2 linked regions of the Drosophila melanogaster genome follow. The protein of the gene in region 1 interacts with the protein of each later gene in a biochemical or structural test. Each region holds a gene or a part of one and is shown in the gene's direction. Other genes may lie near its edges.

The links.
Region 2: of the proteins of Arf1 (region 1) and Sec71, one has a biochemical effect on the other in vitro, tested with the Drosophila melanogaster proteins (one study listed by BioGRID).

The regions. Positions count from the first base shown.
Region 1 is NT_037436.4:22,868,003-22,874,267, reverse strand, and holds Arf1 (ADP ribosylation factor 1), read left to right. Parts: upstream 1-2,036; 5' UTR 2,037-2,211; exon of another isoform or gene 2,212-2,455; intron 2,456-2,543; exon of another isoform or gene 2,544-2,948; intron 2,949-3,180; exon of another isoform or gene 3,181-3,421; intron 3,422-3,973; exon of another isoform or gene 3,974-4,053; intron 4,054-4,117; 5' UTR 4,118-4,278; coding exon 4,279-4,426; intron 4,427-4,493; coding exon 4,494-4,603; intron 4,604-4,645; exon of another isoform or gene 4,646-4,723; intron 4,724-4,796; coding exon 4,797-4,922; intron 4,923-5,021; coding exon 5,022-5,186; 3' UTR 5,187-5,760; downstream 5,761-6,265. Other genes in the region: CG11109 (uncharacterized protein), read right to left, coding at 580-1,833, 1,922-1,987; EMC4 (ER membrane protein complex subunit 4), read left to right, coding at 6,116-6,171, 6,232-6,265. UniProt on the Drosophila melanogaster protein: Small GTPase involved in protein trafficking between different compartments. Modulates vesicle budding and uncoating within the Golgi complex. In its GTP-bound form, triggers the recruitment of coatomer proteins to the Golgi membrane.
Region 2 is NT_033779.5:13,791,553-13,799,527, forward strand, and holds the start of Sec71 (secretory 71), read left to right. Parts: upstream 1-1,968; 5' UTR 1,969-2,295; coding exon 2,296-3,076; intron 3,077-3,343; coding exon 3,344-7,386; intron 7,387-7,455; coding exon 7,456-7,593; 3' UTR 7,594-7,975. Other genes in the region: CG16863 (uncharacterized protein), read left to right, coding at 1-43, 113-1,583.

The DNA.
Region 1 (6,265 bases):
TACGATAATTATCACTGCAGTCAAGGTGAGAGATTCCGCCAGCGTTAAAAGCCTTCATCGATGTTCTCATCATATTTAGTAATTTCCTCAAGCACAAACAAAACATGCATTTATCGGGGTCCCATCAATGATTGGTAATATTTTTGACTTCCTTTTAACTTACAACTCGTAAAATCATTAAGTAAATCTTTGTCGTAGAAAGTTTTAAAGTTCCCGAAATGCATAATTTTGCTTTTAACAAGAATCGTTAAATAACAATGACGGACTTAGATTTAAGTAAAATTACATTAGTTATGAATTGTAAATTATTTAAGTTCTTTTTAACTCGAAAACAAAAAGATAACATTATGTATCTCCATTAAGATAGCACAAGCAGCTATGGGAGAGCAAAGCCTAAATGTTATCAGACTGCATTTTTCAAATGCTTTTCTAAGCGTAGGGTTGAAATTTTCTTGATCAAATACCACTAGCGTAGGTCTCACTTATATCACTCATAAGCCGGCTTACTTTTGCAAATCAAAACGAATGTTTAAATTATCGAGCCCAATAAACAAAAAATTTCAGTGAAGTTGAATTTATTTATATTTTCTGAAACTTCGCAATAAAAAAGCCCACAGTGTCCGCATTTGCTCCGCTTGGACCGAAGCGCTGCAACAGACGAGATTTACATGCCTCGAAACCGGGAAGCGGAAGTCCGGGACCGCCCCACCGGGGAGTGGCATCTGTTAGCCGCAGCTCGACAAATTTTCTTAGTGCCCAGGCCACAAGACATTCGCACTCATCCTCGGTGACGGTGCACGTGCTATATACAAGGATGCCGCCAGGACGAACGAGCTGCACTGCCTGTTCAAATAGCCGGCGCTGAATATGGGGATATGAGGACAAGACCTTAACCTGTTTAATGCTGCAGGACAACTGTGGCCGGTTGCCCAGCCCACTGCAGGGTGCATCGAGCAAGATTCGGTCAAAGCTTTCACATGGAAACGGAGGCCCAGTGAATTCTCCCACGGGTGCAGATGGAGCGTCCGCTGCCACTGCCTCGGTGGAGTTAAAAACATGCGCCGTTATGCTTTTGTAGTGTCCCAATTTGGGCAGCATGCTGCGGACGCGACTGGCCGAATTGTCTAGGGCCACCACAGATCCCCGATCGCCCATCAACTCGGCTATGTGGCTTGTTTTGTTACCCGGAGCGGCACACATGTCCAGTATGCGCTCGCCGGGCTGCGGATCCAGGACACGGACGCAAACAATAGAAGGCAGGTTTTGCAACAGGCCGTCTTCGCTGCTTAGATCCCCCAGCGTGGGCACTCCGCTGACGTTGGACTGCATTTCCACGGCCACTCCAGAGGCGGGCTTCTCCGCGTTGTTGAACAGCTGATACCGCTGCATTAACACCTTGCCTGTACCCAGGAAAACCTTATTTGGGCTTTCGTACCGCTTGACCGTCCCGCGCTTGCATTTTCCATCCAGATCTGCGTAGACATTGACGAGTTCCTCCCGCTCAGTGTTTGACTCCATAGCTAAAACACCGGGGGCGTATATGTGGGCGCCTCGCAGTAGTGCAGCTCCGCAGTTAGTGTCAACCACTACCTCCTTGAGCTCGGAGTCGGCCACAGCTTTGGTGAGCTGTGAGTCCAGCGGATCAATGCACAACATCTCGGGTAGGTTTGGCAAGCAGTAAATCCTTGGAGATTTTACACCGTAGCGAATGGCGAGTTTTTCTTCTAACTTTTTCCGAAAGTCGTCAACGGAACACCTAAGAGTGTTCACCCTGTAAGTGGTGACTTTGGGAGTAAGGCACAGCCATTCCAACAGCGGAGCAAGTGCAGCAGACTTGACAAAACCAGGAATTAACAGTTAATAAAATTTGCAAGCCAGTTTTTGTTGTAAATACGTATTTGTGCACATTGAAAGTACATACATTCACTTTAAGGATATCGGCTTCCAGCAACGGGTTCACCAAAAATGGTGTTTTTGGGTAAAACATATTAACATTTAACTTAGTTCAAATCACCTGGATAGTGAACTTTATCGAGTGAGCATTGTGCGACAATGATGAATCGATTAATCCAAATCGTTGGCAACTCTAGCCGAGGTGGCGGAGAAGAGACGTGGCAGCATTTCCCGAGTTTTCACCACGGGACTACACAACATCGGCATCCCGCTCTAGCTCATGCGCTGCGCCCATCTCTATCGGCAACGTTTATGTTGGTGAGTTTGCAGTTTTTTCAACAGCAAGTGTATTCTCGGTCAAGTTTTATTTTGCTCTGTGATTTTAGACATTTCCAAGCAGAAGTTTTTAAAATTTCCGCTCCTAGCCGTGTGCATTTGATTCAATTAGTTGGTGCGTATGCGTTTTCAGTCGAAAAAGGGGGTGGTATGTCAAGGCAGAGATACTTTTCTTGATTTTAAGAAGTTCCGCAGTAATGTAGATGTTCGTGTGAGTGTTTAGTGTGGGCTATCCACGAACACTCGCGCAACGTACGCGGCTGTGGTGAATAGTGGAAGTATTAGTATTGGAAGCCGCACGAATTAATCGTCGGTGCTTTGTTTATAGCATTATCGTAACAGGAGACAAGGACAAGCTCTCCTTTAATTACAAAAGTGATAGCTAAATTATATAATTGGGAACATTTTACAATCTCTGTTCGGCAGACAATAGTGACTTGTGCTCATCGACTATCGGTAGCGGATGCTATCGATACATTTCTCTCCATTATCTTTCTATTCGCAATTCGGTGTGTGGTGTGTTTGGCAGCATAGAAAATTCAATCAAAGAAAAGTCCACGAAAAAAGGCAGAATAATCGGTAAATGGACGTGTAAAGTGTCACTGAGCTAAAAGGATCTCAGTTAAAAGAAGTCCAAGTAACTTCGGACCGGTCTCTGTATTCTTGTAAAAACAAGGGACGGCGGCAGCCGCATTTCACCAACCCATAAGAAAAACAGCGTACGTCACTCACACAGACGCAGGCAACCACGTATAAAGTTCAAAGTTGTCTGATCCCGATCCGAAAGTGGGCTTAGTTGCGAAATGTCTGAACATGGGGCGTGGGCTGGCGAAGCGTTCATCTTCGAGCAGTGACGCCCTCCGCCTGGAGCTTCTATTTAAACGCATTAAAGGCAGCAAAGGCAGGGCGGCTCAACGCAGTTGGCAACCCTGGCGCCTGCGGGTGTATGCGTGAGTGTGCGGTGGTGGGCTGCCTCGCTTCCCTCAGCGCTAAATTAAAAGCTGCTACGTGTAGTTTTCGATTTCGGCTGCTTCCAAGCCAACTATCGTCAGCTGGCATCAGCATCTTCTCAGTAACGTGGAGCACCTATCTTTGCGCACTACCGGTCCGGAGAAGAAGTCTCTGGGGTGTTAGTTCCCTGTAACAAACTTAGGTTTTTGGATATCCGATTGCTGTCAAACGAAAGGTTTCCGTATGTTTCGCTGGCAACCTTTTTTCTTTTTGTGTTCGTGCGAAACGGGCTTGCTCATTGCGTTCCTCCATTTTAACATGAATTGCTTAGCCATCGGTTGCAGCCTGCTCGGTTGCAGGGCTCAAAAGGCGGCAGCGGTGACTCACTGTAGAGTTTGGGAGCTTCCCCTCCGCCCAGCAAGTTCGCCGAAAACTGCAAGTTACCTGGCCTTATCATTCACGCACTTCTCAGCCCGCACGTTTCTTGCGTACTCTGTGTAAAGTGGGTGGAGGACGTTGGAAGGGAGGCGCTGAGCGCCGACAGCCGTCATGGTTCTATACTAAAAATCGATATCTTATCAGCAGCCGCTAGCGGGGCAAACACTAAAAGCAAGCGACTCGTGTTTCATACATCCTCCATTTCGCGTTGTATTTAAGTGTGGAATTAATTACATAAACAAATTTTCTGTTTTTCTCATGCTGACGCATTGAAGACGTCCTTATTACAATAAACAAAAACGAATTTCGTTTCTTTTTCCGGTTTTTCCGCTCTTCCGGTTTTTGTATGACTCAGAGTGGGTAAGCGCCATTCAACACGTAAGCGCGATCATAAGTGAAACAAACACCAGAGGAGCTTCGGCGCATCCGTCCTTTGTGATAGCTCTTCCTACCACGAAAAATTCTCGCCTACAACTGTCTATTTTTGGACTCTTCACAGATTCTCCCACTCCATGCACACAAGTGTGCAGTTTGCATATTCTGATCGGTATAGCAACTCGGATTTGAACTTGTCATAATTCCAGCCAGCAGACAGCGAGCAGGCCAACCAGAGATCCAACTTCCTACGACTACCGAGCATCCGAAAGACAAACAGCAGCCATGGGAAACGTATTCGCGAACTTATTCAAAGGCCTATTCGGCAAAAAGGAAATGAGGATATTGATGGTCGGTTTGGATGCCGCTGGTAAAACCACAATTCTGTACAAACTCAAATTAGGCGAAATTGTTACAACGATACCTACCATTGGTAAGTATCTTATTAGCACCTTTAATGTATCTTGTCCAAATCTAATATCTAATGGTTGTCCCCCTAGGTTTCAATGTGGAGACTGTAGAATACAAGAATATTAGCTTTACAGTGTGGGATGTGGGTGGCCAAGACAAAATTCGTCCCCTGTGGAGGCACTACTTCCAGAATACACAAGTAAGTGTGATTTCAGCTTTTCCACAGATTCCAGAAAATTCTATATGATGTTAACAGCTTGTAATGATTATGCATTGTGATTATTCAAGTTTATTTTGTTTCAAGACGGGACTGACTATATTATCTTAGAGATCTATCTCCTACGATTCAAGCCAGGACAATTGGAATAAAGTTTTCATTTGAATCGTTACAGGGTCTTATCTTCGTCGTGGACAGCAATGACCGAGAGCGTATCGGTGAGGCGAGAGAGGAGTTGATGCGCATGCTGGCAGAGGACGAGCTGAGGGATGCAGTCTTACTAATCTTCGCAAACAAACAGGTAGGTCCAAGCAAAGGTTGTCGTTATCAGTAGCCAGTTGCTCGGTCCTTATATTGTCATACTAATATTGCACCTCGCTCTTTTCTGGGATCATTTTAGGATCTGCCAAATGCAATGAACGCGGCCGAAATCACCGACAAGCTCGGCTTGCACTCACTCAGAAACCGCAACTGGTACATCCAGGCGACGTGTGCAACTAGCGGTGATGGGCTGTACGAGGGACTCGACTGGCTGTCCAACCAATTGAAGAACGCTAATCGCTAATTAAACACTAAAATTAAAGCAACAATATGAATACAACTAACTCTGATTTCAAGCGAGCCGAAGCAGTTAACCAGCAACCAGAACCATAGAAAGAGCGGCTGAAGGACATCCAACATCCAGCGGTAAACGGTGGAAATCGACATCAGAAGGAATTTTCACAAAACAGCAGCAGCGGCACCAACACCAACAACAAGAGCAGCAGATCTTCGCATAACTTAAAGGGCTCCGCATGTCCGTATTTCCAAACAAGAAACTGAAATTGTTTATTGAATTGCAAAAACATAACCTTTCAAGCAGCATATAAAGAACGCTATAATATAATTTAAATTCGTATACATAATTATTGGATGTTTAAAAGCAAATCGAGTAAAAGAAAAGCCCAACCAATCACACAAGAAAGGAAACTATAGTATATGGTATAAAAATGTCTTTTTTAAGTTATTTTTGTCCTCTCCCTACCCCTCATCAAAATATATATTTCTTTTTAATTTTATAATATTAAAGTAATATTAATGAGAAAAAACTGTAATTGTAATTGCTCTTTAAAAATACAACAAATACCATTTTAATTTTTAACCCTTCTGTTTCTTGTTGTCGCTTGGTCACGCAAAATCCATTAAAAATCACGCATATATATAAGACCATATTAAAAAGGAAAGTACTACTTAAAAGGTAATTTGAAATAAAATTTAAATATTAATGAAAACTACTGCGCTGTTCGATTTTTGCACATGCGTTTCAAAAAGTCCGCGCAAAATCGTAACTGCCTATCGATACCCTGGTGCCATACACATCAGTTGCCTATCGAATTGTCTACACTACAATAATTTCGGAATTTAACGTTGAACAACACTCAGCGACCAATTGTCAGAAAAAATCGTCATTTTGTTTTATAAATTGGCAAAAGATTAAATAAAAGAAAGCACAGCATGTCCGCCAAGCAAAACCCAAAAAAGTTAAAGTGGGCGCTGGACTTTAACGGGAGGTAAGGATTGCTAGCCTGCGCGGTGACTCAAGTTCTTACCACTTTTGCTTTTTCCTGCAGCAAAAATGCTGATATTCCTTCGCCGCTGGGCTAC
Region 2 (7,975 bases), on another chromosome or scaffold:
GCCCACTTCCCCAAATTCATGCTGTACCATTTGCCGGCCATGAGTAAGTTTTAATCAAAAGATAGAAGGTAGAAGATAGATACAATTGTAGTAAACTTCATTTATTACCCAGCAACTTAAAAATGGAAGAACCTCTGCCGAGCGAGAGTCCGTTTCACAAGGACATTGCCTTCTTTGTCTGCCGTGACCGCCAGTCATTGCAGATTGTGCAGGGCGAGGGATTCCAGCACCTAGTGAAAGTACTGTGCCCCACCTACAGACCACCGAGTGCGGCGAAACTGGAGGCCATTATCTGCAGGGAGTCGGAAGCGCAGAGGTCCAAGCTCTGCCAGCAGTTGGCCGACATCTCGACACTCAGCCTAAGTTGCTCGGTGCACACGAATGCGGAGAGTCGAAGCTGGATGGAGCTGGTGGCCCACTTTCACGAGGGGCGGCAACGAATCTCCCGAACTCTTTCTGTGCTGCGCCTTCCCGATCTTTTCACCTCCAACGATCTGGTGGATCGCATGGACCAAGTGTGTCAGCGCTTCGACATTCCAAAGTCAAGGATCTGCTGCGTGTCGACAAGGAGCAGTCAACTACTGGAGGATGCGGTGACATCGTTCATGGGCGCTCATCATCATGTTCCCTGCTTCGCAGACCAATTGAATTCTATTTTAGAGGAGGTGGTGCAGCGCCCAGAAATACGTCATTTGCGCGACAAGGTGCGTTCCCATGTGCAGTCCACATTGCAGCTGAATCCCCAACTGGATTCCATACACCGACCGATTAGTGTGTACAATATGCTAGACTTATACCTGAAACAGACTCTCGTTCAAGAGCCGCTGCCGCTTTCGACATCGGAGGTGGATTTGTGTCAGCAATTGCTGGACGTGCTGAGGCCGTTGACCAGCTCCATGCGTGAGCTAAGTCGAACACCATATCCGGCGGCCAGCACAGCCCTGCCCATTGCCCAAACTCTGATCAACGAACTGAAGCAGGAGAAGAGTGCGGAACACATGGTTGCCAGGGAAATACGCTTGTTCCTGGTTCAGCAGCTGGAGGAGATCTTCGAACGAATGGAGCGCAACTTGCACCTGGCATTGGCAAGTCTGCTGGACCCACGCTTTCGAAATATTCCCTTCCGGAGTGGGGCCCTGGTGGCCCAGTACATGACTCAACTCTATGACATGATGCAGGCGCATGTGGACAGCGGGGAGCAAGCTGTTGCAAAGCATCCGGAGAACCGTGATCACTACGATATCTGGGCGGCATTCAAATCCTTTTCGCATGGGAAGCAAAGGATTGTAAACGGCAGCAACGGTCCCGAGGCGGACGATGAGATAGCCAGATACTTTTGCGCCGGCATGAGTACCCTGCGAGCCGATCCCTTTCAGCTCTGGGAGGAACTGGCCGAAGCTCACCCCTTCCTGCACAACGTAGCACAGAGGTACCTGCACGTTCCGGCCACCGCAGAGCCGGCGGATCGGCTATTTACGGCCGAAGGAGCGGCGGTTGCGGCGCAGTACGCCAGACTAATCGAAAACAACATGGAAAACATACTCTTCATGGCGGAAATTCCAACGAAGGAGTGGCAGTTATAGCGTAGTCCATAATCAATCCAAACCTAAGTTGAGCACTGTGTTTTTGTACCCCTTTTATTAACTAATTTATTAATTTACATTTACAATAATGCGAACTATAAAATACATTTTTTAACTTTTTAGCTTCTCAAGCGTTAAGGAACTATTTTTGTATTAGAAAATTAGAGGTAGGGAACGAATAACGAACACATATTCATTAAAGATTTGTAAGTACTATTTACTACACATATTTACACAAATAATTTATTTTAAATATAACTTTATTGTTTACTTTTTTCTTTTGTTATCACAAATCGCCGTTACAAATTCAAATAACAATAACACCAGCAAATTAGCAAAAATACCAAAACCGAGAGAATACCAAAAACTTCCCAACACTGCCGACAGCTCAGTAATTTTCGCTTACACGGTCACACTTCTGATGACGTTTTTTCGTATTTTGAAGGGAATGTAAATGTGGAAAAACTGAGAGATTTGCAACATGCAAACATCCACGACACGCTAAAAACTCACCGAGTGCCGCCACACGACAATCCAACCGAGAGGAGCACTCCGCACAGCTGGCGGAGCACCCAGAAGGCAGCAGGCGAAAGTTGCGTGGCTGTTGTTTCCGGAAGCGGTGGGCAGAGGGAAATCCGAAGCAGTGGTAGTAGGGAAAGAGGCATCGAAACCCACCCAGCGAAGGCGACCTTGGGAGTGGCAGCGGCCCAATATGCACAACAACTCCACAAAAACCAAGGAAATGTTCATCGTGCGTGCTCTAGAAAAGATCCTTGCCGATAAGGACATACGGCGCTCCCATCACTCGCAGCTGAAGAAGTCCTGCGATTCGGCGCTGGAGCAGATTAAGGCGGAGCTAATCAGTGCCGGCCAGATCGCAGAGGGCAATGAGCTGCCCTGTGCCGCACTCCCGCTGCCCAAGAATGATGCAGCGAGCATCATAAATGCGGAGACCTACTTTCTCCCCTTCGAGCTTGCCTGCAAGAGCCGCTCGCCCAGGATCGTGGTCACCGCACTGGACTGCCTGCAGAAACTCATTGCCTATGGCCATTTGACAGGATCCATTCAGGACTCGGCCAATCCGGGTCACCTGCTCATCGACCGTATCGTTGTGACCATATATGGCTGCTTCAGTGGTCCCCAGACGGACGAGGCCGTCCAACTGCAGATAATAAAGGCTCTGCTCACGGTGGTCACCTCGCAGCATGTGGAAATCCATGAATTCACACTGCTGCAAGCTGTGCGCACCTGCTACGACATCTATTTGTCCAGCAAGAACCTGGTCAATCAGACCACAGCACGCGCTACGCTCACCCAAATGTTGAACGTGATATTTGCCCGCATGGAGAATCAAGTGTACGAGCTACCACCTCCCAATTCCAATCCCACCAACGGCAGCATCCACTCGGAGGATTGCAATGGCTCGGGAGAGGAGTCGCTGCGGGATTCCGACGAAGTAATTGCCTCGGAACTGCTGGCGGAGATCATATCAGGTGCGTGGCACTCGGTGGAGAAAGTTTGATAAACAGATGTTTCTTGTTAAGCTGAAGTTGCTTATTATTCTACTTAACTCGCTTAGATTTAACTATTTTTCAATATTTTCAAGAAACGTAATTAAGTTCATAAAATATTTCTTATCGGATGGGAAAAAATTGTATGAATCATTTACAGTACGATACGATAAGGTCCAACATAAAATTCCACTCCTCCAAACCGTCTAATTATCATTGCGCGAAAATAATGACAGTTACGTTTTTCAGCTGCCTACAATGAGGCGATGAAGGATCAGGAATCGGTCGGTGAGCCAGAGCCAACACTTAATGGAAACGACTACTCCTCGCACTCGGATCACGACAGTGTGGAGCTGCACAGCGAAAACGATGCGGTTGTAACGGCTAAGTTTACGCACATCCTGCAGAAAGATGCTTTTCTCGTGTTCCGGGCACTGTGCAAGCTATCGATGAAGCCTTTGCCGGATGGACATCCAGATCCGAAATCGCACGAGCTGCGTTCCAAGGTGCTGTCATTGCATCTGCTGCTGCTCATCCTCCAGAATGCCGGGCCCGTCTTCCGCTCCAACGAGATGTTCATCATGGCCATTAAGCAGTACCTGTGCGTGGCCTTGTCAAACAACGGAGTCAGTCTGGTGCCGGAGGTCTTCGAGCTGTCGCTTTCAATCTTCGTTGCCCTACTCTCGAACTTCAAGGTGCATCTTAAGCGGCAGATAGAGGTGTTCTTCAAGGAAATCTTCCTAAACATTCTTGAGGCGAACTCAAGCAGCTTCGAGCACAAATGGATGGTAATCCAAGCGCTGACACGTATTTGTGCTGACGCCCAGTCCGTGGTGGATATCTATGTTAATTACGATTGCGACTTTTCGGCTGCAAACCTTTTTGAGAGACTGGTCAACGATCTTTCGAAAATTGCCCAGGGTCGTCAGGCTCTCGAACTGGGCGCCAATCCGATGCAAGAGAAATCGATGCGCATTCGCGGCCTGGAGTGTCTTGTCTCCATTCTTAAGTGCATGGTAGAGTGGAGTAAGGACTTGTATGTTAATCCAAACATGCCGGTTCCACCTATGCAAGTCCAATCGCCGACAAGCACTGAGCAGGATCAGGCGGACACAACTATCCAAACGATGCACAGTGGTTCCAGTCATAGTTTGAACTCCAATCAGGAGCAACTACAGGATCTTCCCGAGGCATTGGAGGAGCGCAAGATGCGCAAGGAAGTGATGGAAACAGGCATTGAGTTATTCAATCGTAAGCCTCAGAAAGGAGTGCAATTCCTGCAGGAGAAGCAGTTGCTGGGTGCCACATGCGGGGACATTGCGCGCTGGCTGCACGAGGACGAACGACTGGACAAGACAGTGATCGGAAACTACATTGGCGAGAATGACGACCACTCCAAGGAAGTGATGTGCGCTTACATCGATGCCTTTGACTTTCGCCAAATGGAGGTGGTGGCCGCCTTGAGATTTCTTCTCGAGGGGTTCCGCCTGCCAGGAGAAGCACAAAAAATCGATCGGCTGATGGAGAAGTTCGCCAGTAGATACTGCGAATGCAATCCGAAGAACCAGCTATTCCAAAGCGCAGACACCGTCTACGTGCTGGCATTCAGCATCATTATGCTGACCACGGATCTTCATTCGCCGCAGGTCAAGCACAAGATGACCAAGGAGCAGTACATTAAAATGAACCGCGGCATCAGCGACAGCAAGTCCGATTTGCCCGAGGAGTACTTGTCGTCCATCTACGACGAGATTTCTGAACACGAAATTAAGATGAAGAACAACTCCGGTATGCTTCAACAGGCGAAACCCACTGGAAAGCAGGCCTTCATAACGGAGAAACGCAGAAAGCTGTTGTGGAACATGGAGATGGAGGTCATCTCGCTGACGGCCACCAATCTAATGCAGTCAGTTTCGCACGTCAAGTCACCCTTCACCTCAGCGAAACACTTGGAGCATGTCCGGCCCATGTTCAAAATGGCTTGGACACCATTTCTGGCCGCTTTCTCTGTGGGTCTCCAGGACTGCGACGATCCTGAGATTGCTACACTCTGCTTGGATGGTATACGTTGTGCTATTCGAATCGCATGCATCTTCCACATGTCCCTGGAGCGAGATGCCTATGTACAAGCCCTGGCCAGGTTTACTCTCCTGAATGCTAACTCGCCCATCAACGAAATGAAGGCCAAGAATATCGATACCATCAAGACGCTTATAATGGTAGCCCACACGGATGGCAATTATCTGGGCAGCAGCTGGCTGGATATAGTGAAGTGCATTAGCCAGTTGGAGCTGGCCCAACTGATCGGCACTGGGGTGCGGCCCCAGTTTCTTTCTGGAGCGCAGACAACGCTCAAGGACTCGCTTAATCCCAGCGTGAAAGAACACATCGGCGAGACGAGCAGCCAGAGCGTGGTGGTCGCAGTCGATCGTATTTTCACCGGCTCAATGCGACTGGATGGCGATGCTATCGTGGACTTCGTGAAGGCCCTGTGCCAGGTGTCTGTGGATGAGCTTCAGCAGCAGCAACCGAGGATGTTCTCCTTGCAAAAGATAGTGGAAATTAGTTACTACAACATGGAGCGTATTCGTCTGCAGTGGTCACGCATTTGGCAAGTTTTGGGTGAGCACTTTAACGCGGTCGGATGCAATAGCAACGAGGAGATCTCATTTTTCGCCCTGGACTCACTGCGTCAGTTGTCGATGAAGTTCATGGAGAAGGGCGAGTTCAGTAATTTCCGCTTCCAGAAGGATTTCCTGCGTCCCTTTGAGCATATCATGAAGAAAAACGCATCGCCGGCAATACGAGATATGGTGGTGCGCTGCATTGCCCAGATGGTAAACTCACAGGCGCATAACATCCGTTCCGGCTGGAAGAATATCTTTAGCATTTTCCACCTGGCAGCGGGAGACAACGAAGAGCCAATTGTGGAGCTGGCCTTCCAAACCACGGGCAAAATCATCGGTGATCTGTACAAGCGTCAGTTCGCCATTATGGTGGACTCGTTCCAGGATGCGGTCAAGTGCCTGTCAGAGTTCGCCACCGCCAGATTCCCCGATACCAGCATGGAAGCCATACGTCTGGTCCGTACCTGCGCGCAGTGCGTCCACGAGGCACCACAACTGTTTGCGGAGCATGCCGGCATGGAGAACGACGCCTCGGTGGCCGAGGAGGATCGAGTCTGGGTGCGCGGCTGGTTTCCGATGCTATTCTCGCTTTCCTGCGTGGTCAATCGCTGCAAATTGGATGTGCGTACTCGCGCCTTAACCGTGCTTTTTGAGATTGTGAAGACGTATGGTGAGAGCTTCAAGCCCCATTGGTGGAAGGATCTCTTCAATGTGATCTTCCGTATCTTCGACAACATGAAATTGCCGGAGCACGTCACCGAGAAGTCCGAATGGATGACGACCACATGCAACCACGCCTTGTACGCTATTATTGATGTCTTCACGCAGTATTTCGATGTTCTTGGTCATCTGCTGCTGGAGGAGCTCTTCGCCCAGCTGCATTGGTGTGTTCAGCAGAGTAACGAGCAGTTGGCGCGATCTGGCACCAATTGCCTGGAGAACCTCGTCATTTCGAATGGATTCAAGTTCAACGAGTCCACCTGGGACAAGACGTGCCAGTGCATCCTGGACATCTTCAACGCCACTTTGCCGCAGGATCTCCTCAGTTGGCGGCCGAAAGCACATTCCAGTAACAATATACCCCAGGAGCACAACCACTTTGAGGCGCTGCATATCCGCTGCGTAGTCCAGCTGGAACTGATACAGACCATGGATAACATTGTCTTTTTCCCGGCCACGTCGCGCAAGGAGGATGCCGAAACGCTGGCCCAGGCGGCGGCAGACTTAACAGGCGGCAGGAGCGGTTCGCAGTCGCAGCTGCTGGAGTGCCAGCGGGAGGAGCAGGGAATGTACGGCTATCTGAGAACCCGCCAGCTGCTCACCCTGGCCGACTGTCTGATGCAGTCGCACCGTTTTGCCAAGCGCTTCAACGCCGATCACGACCAACGCAGCCTGCTTTGGCGGGCGGGATTCAAGGGATCTGTTAAACCGAATCTGCTGAAGCAGGAGACCTCGTCGCTGGCCTGCGTCCTGCGCATTTTCTTCAAGATGTACGGCGACGAGAATAGACGCAGCGATTGGCCCGGCATCGAGCAGGAACTGGTGCAGGTCTGCAAGGAGGCACTGGGCTACTATTTGAGTTTGCAGAGCGAGGCACACCGAGATGCGTGGACATCGCTGCTGCTGCTCATCCTGACGCGCCTGCTCAAGATGTCCGATGCCAGGGTGAGTTGGTTTAATACACTATATCCTCTAGTTCCGTTGTTAATAAAACGCACATATTTCTTTTGCTAGTTCGCCACCCACGTTTCCAACTACTACAGCCTGCTGTGCGAGATGATGTGCTTCGACCTCAAGCCCGAACTGAGAAGTGTCCTTAGGCGTGTGTTCATGCGCATCGGTCCAGTATTCAATATAATGAGCGTTAAATAGTCACGGAGGAGCCGCAGCCACCTGGCTAGCTGACTCGGCCATGTTAATAGATCGATTCCCGATCCACCCGAAATCCCCTCAAATCGTAGTTCATAGTGGGCCCTCTGGTTCCCTCGGCTTTGTTGTTATGTTGGCACTTAATCATTCATACAAGTATATATATTTTTATTATATTTATAAACAATACATAGTCAGAATGTAATGTTTACTAGGTTTAACGAGAAATGTTGTTGTTTTTATATATATATATAAATATATATATATATATATATGTATATGTATATGCATATGTACATACCCCTGGGTATGCTATGTAAGGCTTTAACGTGTGCGTGTGTATAGTTTCCTTCAGTTACGAATTTGGATTTTGTTTCCCCGGTGT